Linked DNA regions of Danio rerio. The protein of the gene in region 1 interacts with the protein of each later gene in a pairwise test. Links are inferred from orthologs where the notes say so. Each region holds a gene or a part of one and is shown in the gene's direction. Other genes may lie near its edges. The genes, in order: arrdc1b, itcha and wwp2.

What was found.
Region 2: the proteins of arrdc1b (region 1) and itcha interact in binary tests that used the Homo sapiens proteins (3 or more experiments, as listed by UniProt). The link is inferred for Danio rerio from reciprocal best matches to the Homo sapiens genes ARRDC1 and ITCH.
Region 3: the proteins of arrdc1b (region 1) and wwp2 interact in binary tests that used the Homo sapiens proteins (3 or more experiments, as listed by UniProt). The link is inferred for Danio rerio from reciprocal best matches to the Homo sapiens genes ARRDC1 and WWP2.

Annotation. Positions count from the first base shown.
Region 1 is NC_133196.1:16,162,718-16,169,879, reverse strand, and holds the start of arrdc1b (arrestin domain-containing protein 1b), read left to right. Parts: upstream 1-2,475; 5' UTR 2,476-2,554; coding exon 2,555-2,672; intron 2,673-7,162. UniProt on the Homo sapiens protein: Functions as an adapter recruiting ubiquitin-protein ligases to their specific substrates. Through an ubiquitination-dependent mechanism plays for instance a role in the incorporation of SLC11A2 into extracellular vesicles.
Region 2 is NC_133181.1:60,235,070-60,241,777, reverse strand, and holds part of itcha (itchy E3 ubiquitin protein ligase a), read left to right. Parts: intron 1-2,610; 5' UTR 2,611-2,643; coding exon 2,644-2,668; intron 2,669-3,497; coding exon 3,498-3,639; intron 3,640-4,811; exon of another isoform or gene 4,812-6,708. UniProt on the Homo sapiens protein: Acts as an Acts as an E3 ubiquitin-protein ligase which accepts ubiquitin from an E2 ubiquitin-conjugating enzyme in the form of a thioester and then directly transfers the ubiquitin to targeted substrates.
Region 3 is NC_133200.1:37,283,178-37,289,885, forward strand, and holds part of wwp2 (NEDD4-like E3 ubiquitin-protein ligase WWP2), read left to right. Parts: intron 1-847; coding exon 848-1,004; intron 1,005-1,737; coding exon 1,738-1,859; intron 1,860-5,155; coding exon 5,156-5,293; intron 5,294-6,708. UniProt on the Homo sapiens protein: E3 ubiquitin-protein ligase which accepts ubiquitin from an E2 ubiquitin-conjugating enzyme in the form of a thioester and then directly transfers the ubiquitin to targeted substrates.

The DNA of each region.
Region 1 (7,162 bases):
CATGATAGAAGAGAAGGCAGAGAAATAATCAAATGTTGAATTTTATTGGAATTAATGCAAATTTAAGCTTGCATACTTTAAATGATTAGCAACATTATTAATTATAGTGCTATTCTGTTAAACCCAACAGTCGGCTTTATCAAAGGAATCGAGCGTAGTGAACTCCAAATTGACTGAAAGTTAATTCTACTCATTTCAAAAGAGTTTTGAACTCAGTGTAAAAGGTAATAAGTTAATCAAATATCTAATTAAATAAACCTATATGAAGTAAGTTCACAGTACTTATATTGATTCGGTTTTTTTTGTACTTAATGGTTTGTAGCAATCGGTTTCCTCGAATGAATTGAGTCACCTTAACTTTTTGGGTTTTACAGTGTAGGCAGTAGCAGAATTAACTTTATTATTTTGGCTAGGTGCTCTCCTCGACTCTCGCAAAAGATTTTGAGTGAAAATTAGATTTGTGCAGATGAGGAAAATGTTACATTGTGTTAAAGGGCTAGATCACCAAAAATGAAAATATACTCACTATTAATTCTTTTTACCCTCAAGGGGTTATAAATCTTTATGATTTTTTTTCTGTTGAACCCAAGATAAAATATTTTGAAGAAAGCTGAAAACCTATGGGAGTGGTTACAGGCTCTATAACTCTTGATTACAATAAAACTATTTTAAAGTTGTTTACGAACGCCCATTTGTTTGATTGCTATTCATTTAGCTGTCCATAAGGGGGCGTCATAGGCAAGTATTTGTAATTACTGGATTTGGTTTATAAAGCAAAGTTCAGTTTATCTGTAAAATACTTTCCAGTAAGATAACTACATCTTTATATATATTTAAAAAATAATAATAATAATAATAAAAAAAAACTTTTTAAAAAACTTTTTTTGTTTCTCTTGTTTAAAACATTTTAACACAGAAGTTTAGTTTAAAAATACCAATTTGACATATTTTTTTAAAGCCCATGCATAAATGACTTTAATAAAACTGAAATGTTTTTCCATTAAGGCTTAACTGAATGTGAACCACAAGCAGACCTTTCAGAACAAGAGGAAATCATCACAGTTTCAGCAGATAAGAGGTGTGCAGTTCCCATCATGAGATGAATTTATTATTCTCAGAACAATGGCAGAAGAGATTTCTGTTCAGTTTTATCAATGCTTGTGTCGCCAGACAGATGGAGCTGTAGATTCCTAATGATTTTCCTGCTTGGCTATGAAGAAAATACAGTGTGGAGCAAAAAGAAAAGAAAAGAAAAAAAAAACAGGTCTGTGAAATTGTGAAATGTTTGAGGAAAAGGTAAAAAGTTTAAATAATGGATTATATATGTATTATATTATATATATACAGTGCTCAGCATATATGAGTGCATTCCATTTTGAAAATGAATATTTTTGTCAATTTCTCAGTGAATATGGGTAATATATAGCTGCATTTAAACAAAACAGATTTATAAACAGATACATTTATTAAAATAATATTATAGTCAGAGAACATCTTTAGAAATGGAAAGATAATACATTTAAATTTATGCAAAATATTGCAAACAAAAGTAATAATTATAATCTACAACATTTTAACAAAAAAATATATTTTTTTTCTTCTCTAACATACATTTGGGCTACAAATTTTCAATTATTATTGTAAGTTACTTTTTTTTTAGATTAGCTCCAGATTTGGCATTTCAGTACTGACTAAACTAATGTATATGCAGAAATATAATATTATAAAGCATCCTATAGAAAATGTTTATTTAAATTAAAGATTTGTGGGGGGTGTATTCATGTTTGCTAAGCACTGTTTATAAACACACACACACACACACACACACATACACATACACATACACACACACACACACACACACACACACACATATATATATATATATATATATATATATATATATATATATATATATATATATATATATATATATATAAACAGTTTTTAAACACTGATTAACACTGACATAGGAGATATTTTTACAATAAGATATTTAAAGCATAAAACAAAATCTTAATGTTTATCAGTAGTAGAAATTAAATATCTATTATAAACAAATGAACAAATACAGATTGTAAGATTACACTACGATATAAATGTAAGTATTTTTCCACATTTGATATGTTCATATATTAATTTGTTAGGCCTGTAACAATTAGGCCTTAAATAAAATTTTGCAGAAATGTGCAGACACATGGTTTCAGAATATTTAAAACATAAATAGTAACTCCTAGTAATGAACTTTTATTGAACTACAAAACATTAATCTATTTTATAATAATGAGAAAGAAAGAAAGAAAGAAAGAAAGAAAGAAAGAAAGAAAGAAAGAAAGAAAGAAAAAGAAAGAAAGAAAACATTATGTCACGATTACTTGAAACAACCGTAAAGAGCAGAATGACTGACATCCCGATGACGTCAGCGCTCGCAAATGGGCGGAGTCTTGAGAGCCGCAGGTGGGACGTCAAACTGGACGCTGCTTTCACCCGTAGTTTAGCCGTCGATTTTTTTTTCTCATCCTCCGCGAGTGCGTGAGAGGCGCTTCTGGAAGACATGGGGAAGGTTCAGGAATTCGAGATTACTTTCACTAACAACAAAGTGGTCTACAACCCCGGTGAATCCATATCAGGAACTGTGAGAATTAAATCAAGCCACTCCTTGCAGTTTAAAGGTAAGCGATGCTCTGTAGTCGTACATCTTCAGTCTTTTACAGTAGGAACATGATTTCCATTAACTACACAGTTGGTAAGCTCCAGGGTTTCCCCAGTTCACGTATGAACGGTATTGAATCAATGCTTGTCAACATTGTCGTGTCGCTGAATGAACGTGTTGAATGTTTGCATGTTGACATTCGGCATCCGTCGCTTCTGTTTCAGTGCTTGTTCATAAATGTGTATTTTGAGGGATTAAGCAGTGTTATCGGAGGGCATCGACGTCTTCATTCTTGTTTCTTATTAACCTGAGCGTACATCCTGTTTCTCATGTGCTGCTGTTGGTTTCGGTCCGATTGCACAATCACACCCGAGTCGTTTCTGGTTCATGAAACACGCTGTATGTGGTTCGCGTTTCAACAAGTGTGGTTTGATGCCTGTCTTCACTTCGTTTTCTTCTTTAAACGTCCTCAAAATAGTGCACATTCAGAACTAACAGGCAAAAGTATCCAGGACGCGACGCTTGCGCTTAGAAACGCGACGCTCATGAGGTCATTTGCTAAACGCAATTGTACTAAAACATTAGACAAAAATTTAGGGAAAGACTATGTAATAGACCGCTAATAAGCACAAAAATGTACTTCCAAAACGTTAAATGAATTATGTCTTAGTGAACAAAACCCGTTCAAGAAAATAAATGTGTAATGTAAGGCTAAAATGTAAGAACTTGTCATAAATGTTTGTCATAAATGTCTAATTTCACGATTAGAGGGTGGAGTTTTTAAACAAATTTCTGAAGTCCGCAGTTTCTTGTTAAGTTATTTGGTTATTTATCTGGAAAGCTACAACTGAGAAGGTTCTTTTTAGGTTTTTATGTAACAGAGACTGTAAAATAGAAAGAGAACTTCTTATTTAAAGGGAACATTTTATGTTAGAAAAACACTTTGACTAACCAACAGAGAATGTTCTGGAAAACAAAAATGGTCAGATCAACACTTATTCTGAGCAATTTCAGCATGGATGTGATTTGCAATAAAATCTCACAAAATCAATTCACAAAGAAAGTAAACGTAAACAATTTTTTCATTAAGAAAACATGTCGCTTGAACAGAATATCCAGCCTGATCTCACAAAGAAATGTAGCTATTTTAGGTTTTGTCAGTTTAGTGTCTAATTCAAGTTCATTCATAGGAAAATGTACGATTTTAACAAGCGTGGCACCAGACCCCACCCCTAAAACCAATCTTCATTGGGGATAAGCAAATCTTACTAAATTGTTTGAATGACAATTTATGCGAATTAGCCACTAAATCAAAAAGTTACAAATTGCTGTGAGATTGTTTTGGTTTGACATGTTCTAAACAAATAAAATATTGTTTAGTTTGGTTAAGAAATGTTAGTGCATGTTAGTAAAAAAAAACAGCCTTTTGAAATAACAAAATTTGTTCTTATTGATGAATTTATTCATTCATTCATTTTCTTGTCGGCTTAATCCCTTTATTAATCCAGGATCGCTACAGCGTAATGAACCGCCAACTTATCCAGCAAGTTTTAACACACCGGATACTCTTCCAGCCGCAATGCACCCCAGTTTTAATGCACCCCACCCCATAACCAAACCGTCGTTGGGGGATGAGCAAATCATACTAAATTAAAAGGTTACGAATTGCGATATGGAATTGGAATATCGCAAAAGTTCTCATGTCGCCATAATAATTGTCTTTGTCAGCATACATTGATGTACAATTACTTAGTACAAATGAATTCCCTGGTCATCTTTAAACAAAATCTGAACATTTCCTTTTGAATAATATTTGTAATATTTACAAAAAATATTTTTAAGAATTTATAAAATGACATTTAGTTTTTTATAAATAGAAATATTAGTATTTTTTAAATGCCACACTGCACAGCCTCCATTAGTAAAAACTAGCAAAATGTGAATCCCTAAAAAAGGCATAACCTTTCTCATGAGTGTGTATTTGTGCTGTTACGTGTCAAATCAATATTACAGCTTTTTAAACTGATGGATTTTAATGATGTGCTGTCTAAGTCCCTCATATTGTTGTATTATATGAGTTTATCATCATGTTGCAGATAAATATCAATGCAAGTGTATAACTACAGTTACAGACATGCATACACAGACACTTTACTCTAGACTGATTACCATGTCAGTTGTCAAAACATCTAAAAGAAAAGCCATAATTGTGAAGACATCTTAACTTCTGGCAGCCCCAAACCCTCCGCACCCTCCGCTAACCAAATTTTTGCATACCGCTTGTCATTGGGGAAAGAGATAAGAAAGTAGGTTAGACAAGGTGCTTTTTACACAGTGTGAATATGCACAAAGAACGCATTGTAAGAGTTTTCATCGAACTGTTGGGTTTAGTGTAGGCGAGACTTAATAGACAGACATAAGAGATGTTCCAATGAAACAACTCCGTAAGCTCATTTTCCTTTTTGCCGTTCCACTTATTGTTTGTGTTCACACTTGAGACTAATGTGTTGCATGAAATTGTTGTGCATTTTCACTCAACTCAGGAACCCCACCCTTATTTGTGACACACACTGTATGAAAAACCGATAGGCGATCTCCTGTGGTCATGTTTCTGTTTCTCTCAGTTGTTCCTGTCAACAATGAGAAAGCACCTTTTATTGTCCATCAATGTGGATTGGTGCATTGTTTATGTTCTCTCTAGTGTTTATCAGTTGCATGCGTGAAAGATGACATCACCAGATGATGAGGTCATGTGACTGGTGTGATTAGTCATTGTCTGTTGGCACTTTAATTCATTAGGACTTCCTGCCGTTCCCATGTTGGTACTTTAGGAATTGGCTCGGAGCGCCTTCACCTTGAGTCAAATGTGGAAAACCTGCATCTACTTTGGATTTGTGGCATTCCCTCCAGGAGCCATTGTGCATAGGAAAAGTGCTAGTTGGTTTGAAGGGCGTTTTCTTTGCATCCAAATATGCTGCTTCCATATGTTACTTTAGACCCTAAGAGCAGTCGTGTCAGTTTTTTGAGATTTAAAATGAAACTCATAAACTAAAACTTGTTCATGACATGAAAACATGAAAGCTGAATAAATGTGATTTTCATCGATGTATGGCTTGTTAGGATAGGATGATGTTTAGCTAAGATACGACTTTTTGAATAACTGTGAGTTAAACCAACACAATTCTTTAGTTCTTTTGGGGGGGGGGTAACAACTTAAATGTTATATTGTTTTATGGATTTGTATCATTAGGGTTTTAACAGTATTACTTTTTTTATTGATACCACGTTCTACTTTAACGGTTCTCTTATCGGTACTTTTGGTAAAAAAATTATTTAAAAAAATAAACAGAATGAACTAATTAATTTAGTTAACGTTTTTTGGGAGTTAACTGTGTTTTAAATACAGTTTTGGAGCATCCTGCAATGTAAAAAATAAGCTGTTTTTTATAATTTCTTAAGCATAGTTTATTATTAGGCTATTCTTTTGCTATATTTGTAAATGCGGCTGATGTAAAAGCATTTTTAATGTTTAGATTTATTTAGGCTACTGCAGAAAAAATACTGTTTTCAATGTAACCGAATGTGTGTTTATTAAAAGTGCTAATATTATACCAATTTAGGTGATTGACTGCTGGCATAACGATGTGGATGATGTAATGTTCTTGTTAGTAGCTAGCAGTCAAAAACTATTCATTTGTCTTTCTGCAGTTTTGAAAGATACTTCCACTTAGCCAGATTGCTTGCGTTTCCGCTTATACAAGAAAACAACTTGTTACGTTTGTTGCAATGGGCATTGTCGCTGTCCACTCAGGAAATATTACCCATTTGGTTCACTTTGCAAGCGCACAAGCAGTGTGTTATGAAAGTCGCGAGCCATGTGTGTGCATTTAGCGTGAGCCTCTACTGAGTGCACGCACAGCCAAGAACTGTAAAGGCTTTTATATTTGACGCATTCGCCGGAAACACGAGCATTTCTCATGTGAGATTGCCAACTGTGTAGATGAATATCAAATATCGCAAATTAGATAAGGTTGGTCAGTTAAATTATGCACCTGTAATTAATGCTTATTCAGCAATAATTCTCCAGTACATATAGCAGAACCGTTAACGCCAGAGCTTATCGATACTTTGTTCTTTTATAATGCGGCACCGGTACCGATAAAGTACAGTTTCAGTACCCATGCCTAGCTTTATGACAACTGAATTGTTTATTTACTAACTTAATTTTTTTTTTTTTTACAAATTTAAGTGGATTGAACGTAAAACTATTAAGTTGTGCACCCTAAAACATTAGAAATGTGTTGTTTAATTTGTTTTTGATTAAAGGTTTCACCTAAAATTTAAATGTATTTACTCTCCCTCAGTTGGTTACAAACCTTTATGAGTTTCTTTCTTCTATAACAAGTGAAGAAATCTAATAACCTGTGATGTAATGATAGACTTTTATTAAGTGAACTATCCCTTTCACAGTAAACTACCATATTTTATTAACTTATACAATGTTAATAC
Region 2 (6,708 bases), on another chromosome or scaffold:
ACTGGTCTCTTTGTAAATGTCGGTGTGTGTGTTTCTCAGCACTTCCTCTCCGTGGAGAGACGGGGAAGTGCAGAGAAACGTCTGCCCTTGAAATTACATCATCTCTAATCTGGCAGGGATTACTGGAGACTTCTGTTGTGAGATTAGCTGTTACCACGGGGAAGGAAGAGTTGAAGACGTGCAGTAGCTTAGACATGCATCCATCACTAAACTGAATACAGAAATGATCAGATGACACGTGTTTATATGTTGAGCTGTAGAATTAAGAGTTTTTTTAAGGGTTTGCCAAAAATAAGTGATACTTTTTGCTTGTAGATGTGCCATGTTATAGAAGTAAAATGTCTTGTTTAATTCTTTCCAACATTTAAAGTTCAAGTCTAAAAGATTAACCCTCCTAATCTTTTTCAAGAGTTCACACTTAGCTGATGATTGATAGTAAAGCTAGTTTGGCGTGCTGTCCCGGGAGAGAGCCCTGAGCTTATAAGATCCTCGAGCCCTGGGCTCCCTCCCGTTGCAAGGCGAGAGGGGAGTTTGAGCTCAGGTAGATCTCGATGACTCCCCCTCTTGCTTGTTGTAGCTAAGTGTCAGATATGGATGCTGAAAGGTGTACTCAGAGTTTAGCTAAAGTATTTGGATTAATTGTTTAGAGTGCTTGTTTTTGAACTGTGGGAGGAAACCGGAGGACCCGGGGAAAACCCACGCGACCACGGGAAGAACGAGCAAACTCCGCACAGAAATGCCGTCTGGTTTGGAAAGGAATTAAACCAGGGGCATTCTTGCTGTGAGGCAACAGCGCTAATCGCTGGCCACCGTGACGCCCGTTTGAAAGGAGGGAAAGTAGGGTTGGGTAGTTGGGTTTCTTCAAGACGAAGATATTGATTTGAGAAAAGTCTGGTTATTTATAGTGAGTTAAGGACAGGGACGGACTGGGACAAAAATTCAGCCCTGGCACTATAGCCACACCAGCCCACATTATCATACGTACTGTTTGTTTGACATTCTTGCCAAATTTTGATTATGTCCGCGTAACCTTTGATTGAGTCGGCCCCTCTCGAAACTGTCACCGATTGGGCCAAATGCTTAACATTTACTATTATTATTACTATTATTACCATCATCAACGTCATCATAATATTCACATGTTGCACGAGATAAAAGCTGCCTGCATGTAAAAACAATACATATAAAAAAATAATAAAAAAAAAAAAAACTGACCGGCCCACATTTAAAAAAATGGTCCGGCCCATCTAGCATTTGACAGAATTGCCAGATGGCCAGTCCGCCCCTGGTTAAGGATCGTCTGATTGGATAATCTGTCATTAGCTAAAGTTGGAACAGCTGTGAACAATCATAAGCACGTGATCCTCTTGAAATTTGTTTATAAATAAACTTCACTTAGAATATTTCTAACAAGTGCAGTTTAATTGTAATATGCTTTTTAAAACTAATTTGTAAACATAATAGTTTCAATAACTAATTTCTAATTTGATTTATTTTATTTTCTTTTATTTATTTCTTTTCTTTTATTTATTTCTTTTATTATTTATTTTCTGATTTGATTTGTCTTTGCCTTGATGACAGTATAATATTTTACTAGTTATTTTGGTTGGGTACTAGTATTTACCTTATAGTGGCATTTTACAAAGGCTTAACTAGGTTAATTAAGCAAGTGAGGGTAATTAGGTAGATCAATGTGCTTAATTGCAGGGCTCAACAATAAGGACTGCCCGATGGCCCGGGGCCAGCATGTCGGTTGCTTAGGACAGTAGACAGGATCATTACTGGCCCGATCGGGCCACTGATGCCCTGTCACTATAAAGTTTATTTTGGCTGGGACTATTTGTCAATTGCGTGCAAAAACTGTCAGAATCGAGAAACAGTTTGTGTTTTTAAGCCTTGAAATGCTACCTTCTCTATTCCTCTTATCTGATTGGATGTTGTGAGCATGTTATTTTTTTCATAACAACCAGTACAGTGAAGAGACAGCAACATGGCGTCAACATCAAGTGATGATGCCACAGGAAAACATTTGTTTCTAACATCTTGGAAGCAGACATTAATGAGGGTAAACCACGACTAAAAAAATCAAGTGATGTTTTGTACAGTTTGCATCTTTTGTTTTGCAATAAAATACCTGCACATTTTGCTACGTTTGTTTGCAAAACCCTTTGAATTTTGCTCATTATACATTTATTAACATTTTTTAAATATTTAAATTCTAGATTTACAAAAATGTATACATTTTTTTGTTTTGATTTGTGGCTAGGCTAAGAAATAGCTTTTTTTTTTTTTTTTGGTGGGGCAGTGAAAATATTGGCAGGACAAGTCAAAATCTGAACCACTGGTCCGATCGGGCCAGTAGAAAAAATCTTTAGCGTTGAACCCTGGATTGACCTTGTAACTTTTGAAAAGAAGGTAAAAGAAATAAGACTTTCTAAAAAGGATGAAAAATATATAGGAAAATTTGTAAAAATCTCTGCTCGGTTAAACATCACATGGACAATATTTGAAAGAATTTCACTAATAAATGGAGCCTTCAACCTTACTTCTTTCTTAGCATAACATTTTTATATAGAAATTAACAATATTATGCTTATCTCTTCATTTTAGATTTGAGCTGCAAATGCTGTTAATGGCCACAAGATGAAGGCTCAACTTCAGATAACAGGTGAGTTTTATTTATTAAACAAAATGACCTGATGACCTCACATATGTTGGCTGTCTTTTTTTTGTGGAATCATTGCAATGCATCGACGTGGTTAGCACTGTGGCCTCACAGCAAGAAGGTTGCTGGTTTCAGTCCTGCCTGGGCCAGTTGCTATTTCTGTGTTGAGTTTGCATGTTCTCCCTGTGTTGGCTCCTCCGGGTGCTCCGGTTTCCCCCCACAGTCCAAACACATGCACTATAGGGACATTGATTAACTAAATTGGCCATATTGTATAAATGTGTGTGTGAGTGTTTATGGGAGTTTCCCAATACTGGGTTGCAGCTGGAAGAACATCCGCTGCATCAAACATATTCCAGAATAATTGACGGTTCATTCCGCTGCGGCGACCCCTGATAAATAAGGAACTAAGTTGAATGAATTGTGTTTTAGTTGTCATATTAAAGTTTATTTATAAAGCACTTTTTTTTTTTGGAAACACCAGGTGTTCACCAAAGTGCTGCACAAATATGAGTTCAAAATAATAATAAAACATTATGAAATATAATATAGTGGATTAAAAATAATGAGTAAAATAAAATGTGTTTTACACTGTGTTAAACGGCAGACTATAGCGCAGATTAGATTTAGCTAAGCTAGACTTAAATACAGAAAGTGTAAATGTTAAGTGAGTTTAAAGCATCTTCTAAATGACTAAATAGTAATGTAAAAGTGTTTAGGCCCTTTTAACGTGTAAATGGAGACTGTTCCATAGTCAGGGGACAGCCACTGCAAATCTCATCAAATGAACTACTTTAATTGAACTGTGCTTCTGTTTGTCGTGTTTTCTCAGTTCTGTCTGCTAAGCTGCGGGAGAATAAGAAGAACTGGTTTGGGCCCAGTCCTTATGTGGAGGTGTTTGTGGACGGACAGTCGAAGAAGACGGAGAAATGCACCAACACCCACAGTCCCAAATGGAAACAGTCTCTCACTGTGTAAGAGTCAAATATACTGAATCAGTCGCAGAGTGGATCCAGAAGCATTACTCCTAATCTTATATTAGGGCTGCATGATATTGGGAAAATCTGACATCGCAATATTTTGTAATTCTGCTATATATTTAGCAATACTGTATACAGTATTATAACAATACTCAGCATATATGAGTTCACCCCTCACAAATCTCTCTTTTAAATTCATGTTTTATATAAGATGCTATACAATTATTATTTTATTATTATTTATAATAAATTTTAATAGATTTTTTCAAGTTTAATATTTTTCATTAGTTCTGTTGTTTTTGTTGTTAAATATTATGTTTTGTTTTCTAGCATTTCTGTTTAGCACATGTTTATTAGATTGCATTTATTTTATTTAAGCAAAATAATAGCAAAAACTTCATTTAAATTGTACAATTAATACTATTATTAGTAATTAATACTAATACTATTATTAGTACTATTATTAGTACTATATTGTATTAATAATTGATGGCATGGTGGTCCAGTGGTTAGCACCATCACCTCACAGCAAGAAGGCTGCTGGTTCGAATCCCGGCTGGGTCAGTAAAACATACTGGAATAGTTGGCCGTTCATTCTGCTGTGGCGACCCCTGATCAATAAAGGGACTAAGGCCGTACTCACACTAGGTACAGTTGCCTCGAACCGGGCCAAAGCACGCTTGTCCCCCCCTCCCGTCTCCCCCGACGGCCCGGGCTCACACCATATCGGGCCTTGGCACGCTTACGTCATCGCTGCTGCTCTGTTCAGTGAAGCGCTCTCTATGGCAAGCCTTTTTAGCATTTAAATCTTTGTTCTGACTCCATAAATATATTTAGAGATATCTCTAATTATATTTTGACTAGTCATAATTATAATTCCACTACTCAGAATGACAGTTGATGAGATATCTGCCATTACAATTGTACTAGTACGAAATCCGATTGGAGATATCTGCAAATATATTGTGACTGACTAGTCATATTCCTCCATTGACTTCCATTGAAAAATATTTGCAGATATCTCCAAATGAATTTTGACTAGTAACAATTGTAACTAGAGATATTTTTTTTTGAGTTTTTACTAGTCATAATACATTTGTATATAATATTGTATATATGTATATTTGTACATAATACATCTTTAATTCATCATATTTAGAGATATTTACAAATATATTTGAAGATATCTCTAATTAATTTACTAATAGTCGAATTACAGTTGTAGATATCTTGAATTGGATTTTTGACTAGTCAAAATTCATTTGGAGATATCTGCAAATATTTTTCAATGGAAGTCAATGGAGGAATATGACTAGTCAGTCACAATATATTTGCAGATATCTCCAATCTGACTAGTCGAATTATAATTATGACTAGTCAAAATATAATTAGAGATATATCTAAATATATTTATGGATAGTCAGAACAAGGTTTAAATGCTAAAATGGCTTGCCATACACTCTCACCCAGTACCACAGTAGAGATTTTTCTAGTTATATCGTTTCAGTCGTTTGTTATGCATTGACATGCAGTCAAATATTTCGCCAAACAGTCCTTAGGGATGCGGTGACACGCAGTCAGATATTTCACCGGACAGATCCGCCACTTTTGGCACTCATAAACAATCATAAAGCCCTCGTGCTGCAGGAATGAGGAGGTCTGCTGAAGGTGCAGCTGTGGTGCAGTGAGGGGTTTGCGTCTTTAATAAACTACGGCAGTTTGCGTTCACTGAACAGTAAGAATGATTAATAAATCCATATAAAACAGTCCCTTAAAAGTCACGTATCGCTTTCAGTTTCGGGCTTTGGCGTGTTTTGCACTCACACTACAAACGTATCGCGCCAAATCCCAAGTGTACCGCGCTCAGGCACACCTCTTCCAACCGGGCCAGGGCTGGCCAAGTAAACCGTGCTTGAGCCCGATTCAGCGCACTCACACTTCTCAAACGATCCGGGAAACGGGCCTGGGCACGGTACGGATGGCATAGTGTGAGTAGGCCCTAAGTCAAAGAAAAATGAATGAATGAAAAACTGTATGTTCACACTGAAAGCGGCGAGAGCGTCAAAGTAGCCGGACGTCATTCATTTTCAGTGGGAGCCGCCTGCGATAAGTGGTGAGGAGCAGGGCAGCGCGTCTTCCCAAGTCAACTTTATGGTAATGAGCCATGACATGGTTCGGTGGCAAGCAATCAGAATGTAGAAGTCCACCGCTTGAAAGGAGTCCAGAGAACACAGTCACTGTGAACTTTGGTTCCGAACACAGTTATTCCCAAGGGTTTAACCATAGGGGTTTGATTAATGCCATTGCTGGATTTCCAGTTATTTGCAATGTTGTCTTACAGGAACATACATTAAAAAGTTACTGGCCAGTTACTGATGTGCATTAATGTTATATATGTTTTTTTTCTTTAAAAAAGCAGAAATCTTATGCGATAATACAAAACAGTATAGCTGCTTCAGTATATTTCAGACAAATGGACACATTGGATAATTAAGTGGAGCAAAGCTACACCATATGCGACTTGATCTTCCATTGTTAAATGAATTTGATAAAAAGTATGCAATGCTAGAAAGCATGTTTTATGCGGGAATGTACCTGATATGCTGCAACGGCCCCTTTAAATACGTGATCAATGTAGCGAATTTTGACGCTCTCCCCACCGGAGCTGAAGGCAGACAGCATTGTCGCCAGGGCGGCCAGAGCAACCTTTGACACTCACTGCCTTCGGTGTGAACGCACAGTAATTATACCATAAATATTCTCATAGAATCTGGTAAGATTAAACACAAACAAACTTATTGTATTAAACAAACTAATTATTTTTGCAGATATTTTGCTTCCATGTCAGGTTGTTGACAAGGCGAGATTTGAGAAAAATTCAAGTTTAATTGCATTACCACAGTTGAATAAAATAATACGTATAAAAGTTTTAAAGGATAGTTCACCCAAAAATGAACATTTACTCAGTATTACCCTCAACCAATTCCAAACTTTTATGAATTTCTGTCCTATGAATAATATGGAAGTCGATGGTTACTCGTTTCCAACATTCTTCAAACGTAT
Region 3 (6,708 bases), on another chromosome or scaffold:
CCTGGTCAAACAGATATCGGCGCATGTCTGAATGTAGTCCGACTGTTGTCTGTTTGTAATGAGCGGACTACATTCACATGTGCATCGAGACCTGTTTAACCAGACTGTGTCAGGTTTTTGTCCTTAAACTGCTCCTTTTAGTTCTTTACGCTCTTCCAAATCCGTACCAGATCTCATCCAAAGCCTTCTGTTGTGTTTTGATGTGATTTTTGACCATCGTAGCTGTGAGATGAAATGGCTGCTATCATTCAGCGTAGTGATACAGAGCCGTAATTAGGTTGCAGATTATTAAAATGTCTATTTCAGAGGTCGCCACAAAATGAACCCCCAGTTTCAGCATATGTTTTACGCAGTGGATGCCCTTCCAGCTGCAACCCAGTATTGGGAAACACCCATACACTCATTCACACACACTCGTACACTAAGGCCAATTCGGTTCATTCAGTTCCCCTATTGCGGATGTGTATGGGGGAAACAGGAGCACCCGAAGGAAACTAATGCCAACTGACCCAGCTGGGTCTCGAACCAGCGACCTTCTTGCTGTGAGGCCCCAGTGCTAACCACTGAGCCACTGTGCTGCCCTTTTTAATTAATGTTTATGATTGTTTTGTTGATTTCCAACACTAACTGTATTGCACCCAAAACCTGCCGGAAGCACTTTAGCTGTGTGTTTATTTGAAAATAACCGCACACCTCAGAATGCTCATTAGCCAATGAGAATCAAGCATTCAAAATCCCTGGAGTATATGTTATATTTAAGTCTTAAAACTTCGTGTTCCCTCAATGTTCTCTTTCTCACTGAAGTTGTTTTGATTGAAGTGTTCATCGTCTTCTCCTCATCTGCTAGTGTTGTCTGCGAAGCCTCAGTCTCCTAAACTGCCCAATCGTCACTCTCGCCTGAGTTCATTTGTGGAAGTGACCGCCGACGGCCTGAGCAGCGAGACCAAGAAAACGGGCAAACGCAGCGGACACCTCGAGCTGCAGTGGAATGAAGACCTCACACTGTAAGCCTTCACGCGTCACTTTTCATTGAAGAATATAATATTTAAGAAGTGCCATGAAAACTGATTAATTCATCATCATGATGATCATTTTAATAACTCATTTCTAATAATGGATTTATTTTATCTTTGCCATGATGAGAGTAATTAATATTTGACTAGATATTTTTCAAGACACTTCTATACAGCTTAAAGTGACATTTAAAGGCTTAACTAGGTTAATTAGGGTAACTAGGCGAGTTTGGGTAATTTGGAAAATTATTGTATAACGATGGTTTGTTCTGTAGACTATCACGAAAAAAATTAGCTTAAAAGGGCTAATTTTGTTCCTAAAATGGTGTTTAAAAAAAATTAAAACTGGATTTATTCTAGCCGAAATAAAACATAAGACTTTCTCCAGAAGAAAAAATATTATTAGACATACTGTGAAAATTTCCTTGCTCTGTTAAACAACATTCAGGAAAATATTTTAAAAAAGAAGAGAAAAATTTGAAGGGGGTGAATAGTACTGACTTCAACTATATTATAAAAACTCTCCCTTTACCATTTAACTTGCTCAGGTTACTAGCGCATCCTCGTCTTAATTGACCAACTTAGTCCTTATACGTAACTTACGTGTGTGTGTGTGTATATATATTTTTTTCCTAACGTGTGTGTGTGTGTGTGTGTGTGTGTGTGTGTGTGTGTGTGTGTGTGTGTGTGTGTGTGTGTGTGTGTGTGTGTGTGTGTGGTGCAGGAACGTGACTCCTCAGAGTCGTCTGGATCTGAAGGTGTGGAGTTGTCACACTTTGAGGAAGGAGCTTCTGGGCAGCGCCACCATCGACTTGTTGGACACTCTACGAACACATGATGGCAAGAGTGAGTTTAAACCCACACAAACACACACGGATACTCACTCTCACATGCACTGACACACGCTTGCACACTAACTCTCACAGACAAGCACAGATGCAGAGATCTGTTTGTTGGTTTAGAGCAGGGGTCACCAATCCTGGTCCTGGAGGGCCGGTGTCCCTGCAGGGTTTTGCTCCAACTTGCCTCAACACACCTGCCTGGGTGTTTCAAGTATACCAAGTAAGAGCTTGATTAGCTCGTTCAGGTGTGTTTGATTAGGGTTGGAGCAAAAATCTGCAGGACACCGGCCCTCCAGGAACAAGTTTGGTGACCACTGTTTTAGAGAAATAATGACAGATTATGGCAGAGTTTACGCTGCAGGGTTTAAGTGACTTAATTCAGATTTTTTTTTTTCTGCATGTGGCACAGATCGGATATGAGAGCGAGAGCACTATCCACCACATAACCAATGTAAACTGATAAAACTATTGCATGCATCACGTGCACATATTACGCCATGGACATGACATTAAGATGCCTACTCGTTTAAAAAGGCCTAGATTAAAAGAAGATGGCCAAATCTTTTCTGTCAAACTATTGGAAAGCAACTTGTCAAAAATAATAATAAATAAATGAAACTCTGCAAACAGATTAAATAAAAGAATAGAGAAAAGAGCGCTTTTTCATTATCAGCTGTCAGTCAGCGTCCGAATTTTTTTTAATTATTTTTTTTTTTGCGCAGTGTAAATGCAGAGAACCGTTCAGGAGTCACTTCTAAAAGATGATGTGAGCAGAAATGAAAAAAAAATCACATACAGTCACAATCGTATTGACCATCAAGATCTGCAGTGTAAGTGCAGCCAATGTAATGAGTGAACCTTTTTTTTTTTTTTTTTTTTTTCCCCACTTGATTTAAAGGCCTCTCGAGGTGCGTGAGGAGCAACTTCACTAATATCTGAGAACACTGACCCTGATGCTCTTTATTAAATAGATTGATTTGTTTTAAGTTCTGGGAATAACGGTCTGTTGTGCAGGTTTGGTGTGTAATTAATACTGGAGTGTTCTGATATGATCCGGAAGGGTTTAGCAGATCACTCCGCGCGGTTAGGCCCAGAGTTTTTTTGGGGGTAAAGTGGGTAAAGATGTTTCTGAGTCAGTTTTGTGCTTGCAGAAAAGCAGAGAAATGCTGCGTGATGGCGTTTTTAAGACTGTCAGCCTTATTTCCTTAGTTTGGGCTTTTTCTGTTTATTGGCTTATTTATTTTATTTGTTTTGTTTGGTGTGTTTTGGTCAAAGAAAAGAAATCACCACTTTAATGTTTGCAAACTTTTATAGCTATAAAACCAACAATCCATCTATAAAAACACTGTTAACAAAAGTAATATTGTTAGTATTGTTCAGTTCAATTCAGCTTTATTTGTATATTGCTTTTACAATGTAGATTGTGTCAAAGCAGCTTCACATAAATGGTCATAGTAACTGGATCAGGGTAGTTCAGTTTTTAGTGTTTAAGTTCAGTTTTAAGTTCAGGTTAGCTCAGTTCAGTGTGGTTTGAAATCATTACTGAGTCCATACACTGAAGGGTAAATTCATTGAGTAGCTTTTCAGATCCTGAACCATGCAAGCCAGTGGCGACAGCGACTTATCATCCTTACAATAACATTTGTTTCAAAGTTCTCCCTGTATTTATGCATTTATGTTTGTTGTGAATAAATTTTAGTTTATACTTTTTAAAACTTATGGTAATAAAAAAAAAAAAAACCACACACACACACACACACACACACACATCCAAGAGCAAACATTCCCAATAAATTCCAAAAAGTATTACTTTTTTTGGTCGTTTAGTTTTTTGAAACAAGTAGTAACACATATTTAATATTTTGAGAGATTTACAGTAAGAATAGTGATTTGAAATACTGAGAATAAAGCACTATAATAAGTTCTACGAATATTTCAACAATGCTCTGATTAAAATAAAGCATTATTTTGGAATTTTCTCTCAGCTTCAAAATGTCCTTTTTTTTTTTTTTTTTTTTAAATAGTTTTTGAAACTAAAACATATATATTTATTATACATTTTATATATAAAACTATGTTTTGACACTATTTAAAATGTGGCTTAAATTTCAATTTTTTTAATAGGGCATGTAAATTATCCACTGCCCATTACAAAGAAAAATGTTAAAGTTTTGTTCTGCAAGTCTTAAAAGGTCTTAAAGTCTTTGTGAAACCTGCAGAAAGCCTGATATAGAAAGCACTTTGAATTAATGCGTGGCTTTTTTTTTTAAGGTTTCAAATGGGTTATGTGATTTTTTTTAAATGTCAAAATATCCAGGAAATGATATTCCAGCTGTACACTTATTTCTGTTCTGATGAAAGCTCATACTTTTCTCTGACGTGTTCCTACTGAAATGTATTTAAAGTTTGATCATATTTGAAATCATGAAAAGCTTCATCAAATGGGTCCACAAATAAAAAATCTTTAATCTTTTATAATGTTCAGCAAATTGAGTTTTGCTATGAAAAATGTTTTTGTTGCTAAAGCACCTGTGATGTTAACATTAAAATAGAACCTGTGAAAACAAATGACAAATCAGAGACTAAAAACAAAAACGAAACAACAGTATATTTAACAGTCAAGATTTAAGCTTTCCTTTATTGCAAATTAGGATTCAGTGTGTGTATGCACGAGCGTGCATGAGTGCGTGTGTGCATTCATGTGCGTGCATTGGAGTGTTTGTGCACTTGTTCATTGCGTTCGTGTGTGCAAGTGCTTGTTCGTGCGTGTGCATGTCTTCATGCATGTACATTCGTGTGTGTGCGTGTTCGTGCATGTTTGGGTGTGCATTTGCGCAAGTGTGTGTTTGTGCACGCATGCATACGTGCATGTTTGTACATGTTTATGCATGGGCGTGCATGTGTGAGCGTATGCGTTTGTGCATGTTAGTGTGTGTGTGCGCATTGATGTTTGAGTGAGCACAAGCGTATGAGCATTTACGTGTGTGCGTACATGCATTTGCATGTGTGCGCATGTGCATACATGTTCATGTATGCGTGCGTGTGCATACATGTTCAAGCGAGTGTGTGTGCATGCATGTGTTTATAAGCACATCACTAATGTTTTTATTGGTCTACCTTTTTTTTTTTTTAATGACAGGCATCAATGTATTGTTCTGCTAGTGCTAAACAATTAGTTTCATCGCCTAATTCACATAATACCCCCCCTCTCTTCTCTCTCTCTCTCTCTCTCTCTCTCTCTCTCTCTCTCTCTCTCTCTCTCTCTCTCTCTCTCTCTCTCTCTCTCTCTCTCTCTCTCAGTGGAGAACGTTCAGCTCAGTCTGGTTCTGCAGACGGAGAACAAAGGCTCGGTTGTAGCAGGCGGTGAGCTCAACGTCTGTCTGGACGGCCTGGTTGTTGATCTGGGATCTTTGCCCAATGGCAGCGCCGCCTCAGACAGTGAGTCCCCTTCACTGGCACACACACATGCACACTTCATAGGGAACACTGCTAGAACACACAGAACAAACGCATGAACAAGCGCACATTGATGAGGCTGTGCTGGACAGAGCGGGTTTGAGCCTCACAGAGAGCTTTTCTCCTGTGTGTGTGTGTGTGTTCAGATTTTCTCCTGCAGGTCACAGGGTTTATTGACAACCACAAACTCAATCTGTTCACACACTCGCTCGGGGTGGAGAGGAAGTCGTTCTCTTACTTTCTTACTGGAGGAGAAAAAGACACCGTTTACTTTACAGTCCAAAAAGTGTGGTGGAGTTATGATTAAAACAAAAGTGTGTTTGAAAGTTTAAAATAGTGCTTATTTTAAAATGTTGTTCCTGTACAAAGCTGCCTTATATTTTAATAATTGTTTTAGTTATGACTTAAGACCATTTCAAATGGATTACCTTTAAACCTTTAAATTTTTTTTTTAACCGATTTAAAATGATTTTGGTTTAAAAACCTTGAAATATGGTGATGTCAGGGTACACAAAGTATTTTAGCTGCTTGGTTAAACCACTTGTTTAAAATGAGCTCAAACACAATTATTGAGTTTTTAGAGTCAACTTGTTTTTGTTAAACTTAAAATTTAAAAAAAACATTAAGTTAATTTGATCAATTTGCATTGAGACAAGATTGAACCCAAGGAATTGTTGAACCCAATGTATTACAGCAAAGAAAGAAAGAGAACGAAAGAAATTAAGGTATGATTTGGAGTCCAAAAAGTGTGGGATAATTATGGTTAAAGTGTTTAAAAGAGGTCTTGTAGAGCATAAGCAGTGATTTATTTTAAAATGTTGTTCCTGTATAAAGGAGCTGTCACTATATTAATTTTTTTTTATGTAGTGACCAAACATTTGTAATTGTAATTATATTTCACAATAGTAAGTCTTTACTGTACATTTAAACAGGTTTTAAAACTTAAAACTATTTAAAACATTTTCAAACACAAACCAATAAATTTTAAACCTTTTAAAACAGTTCAAATTTACAACCTTTTCTGTTAAAAAATCTAACTTAAAACCATAAATTAAAGACACATTTTATAAGCACTATAAAATTAAAACCCTTTCCTACTTGAAGTTTCAAATTAAAATCCATTGCAAATTTCAAATCTTTAAGTAAACATTTTTAAACAAACTTAAATGTTAAAAGTCTATTTAAACAGTGTCTTTTAGACCAGTCAAGGTTAATAAGTCTTTAAAAATGTCATTTAAGTAATCATTTCTCGAGCTGGGATTTGAACTCAGGATGCCCTGATGTGCTACTGTACAATATGTCGGCATGCTAATCTCTAGGCTATTGCACCGACTATTTGTCCACATTTATGCTGAATGTTAAAATGGTGAATCTTACTGATTGGATCAGAGCTGCTT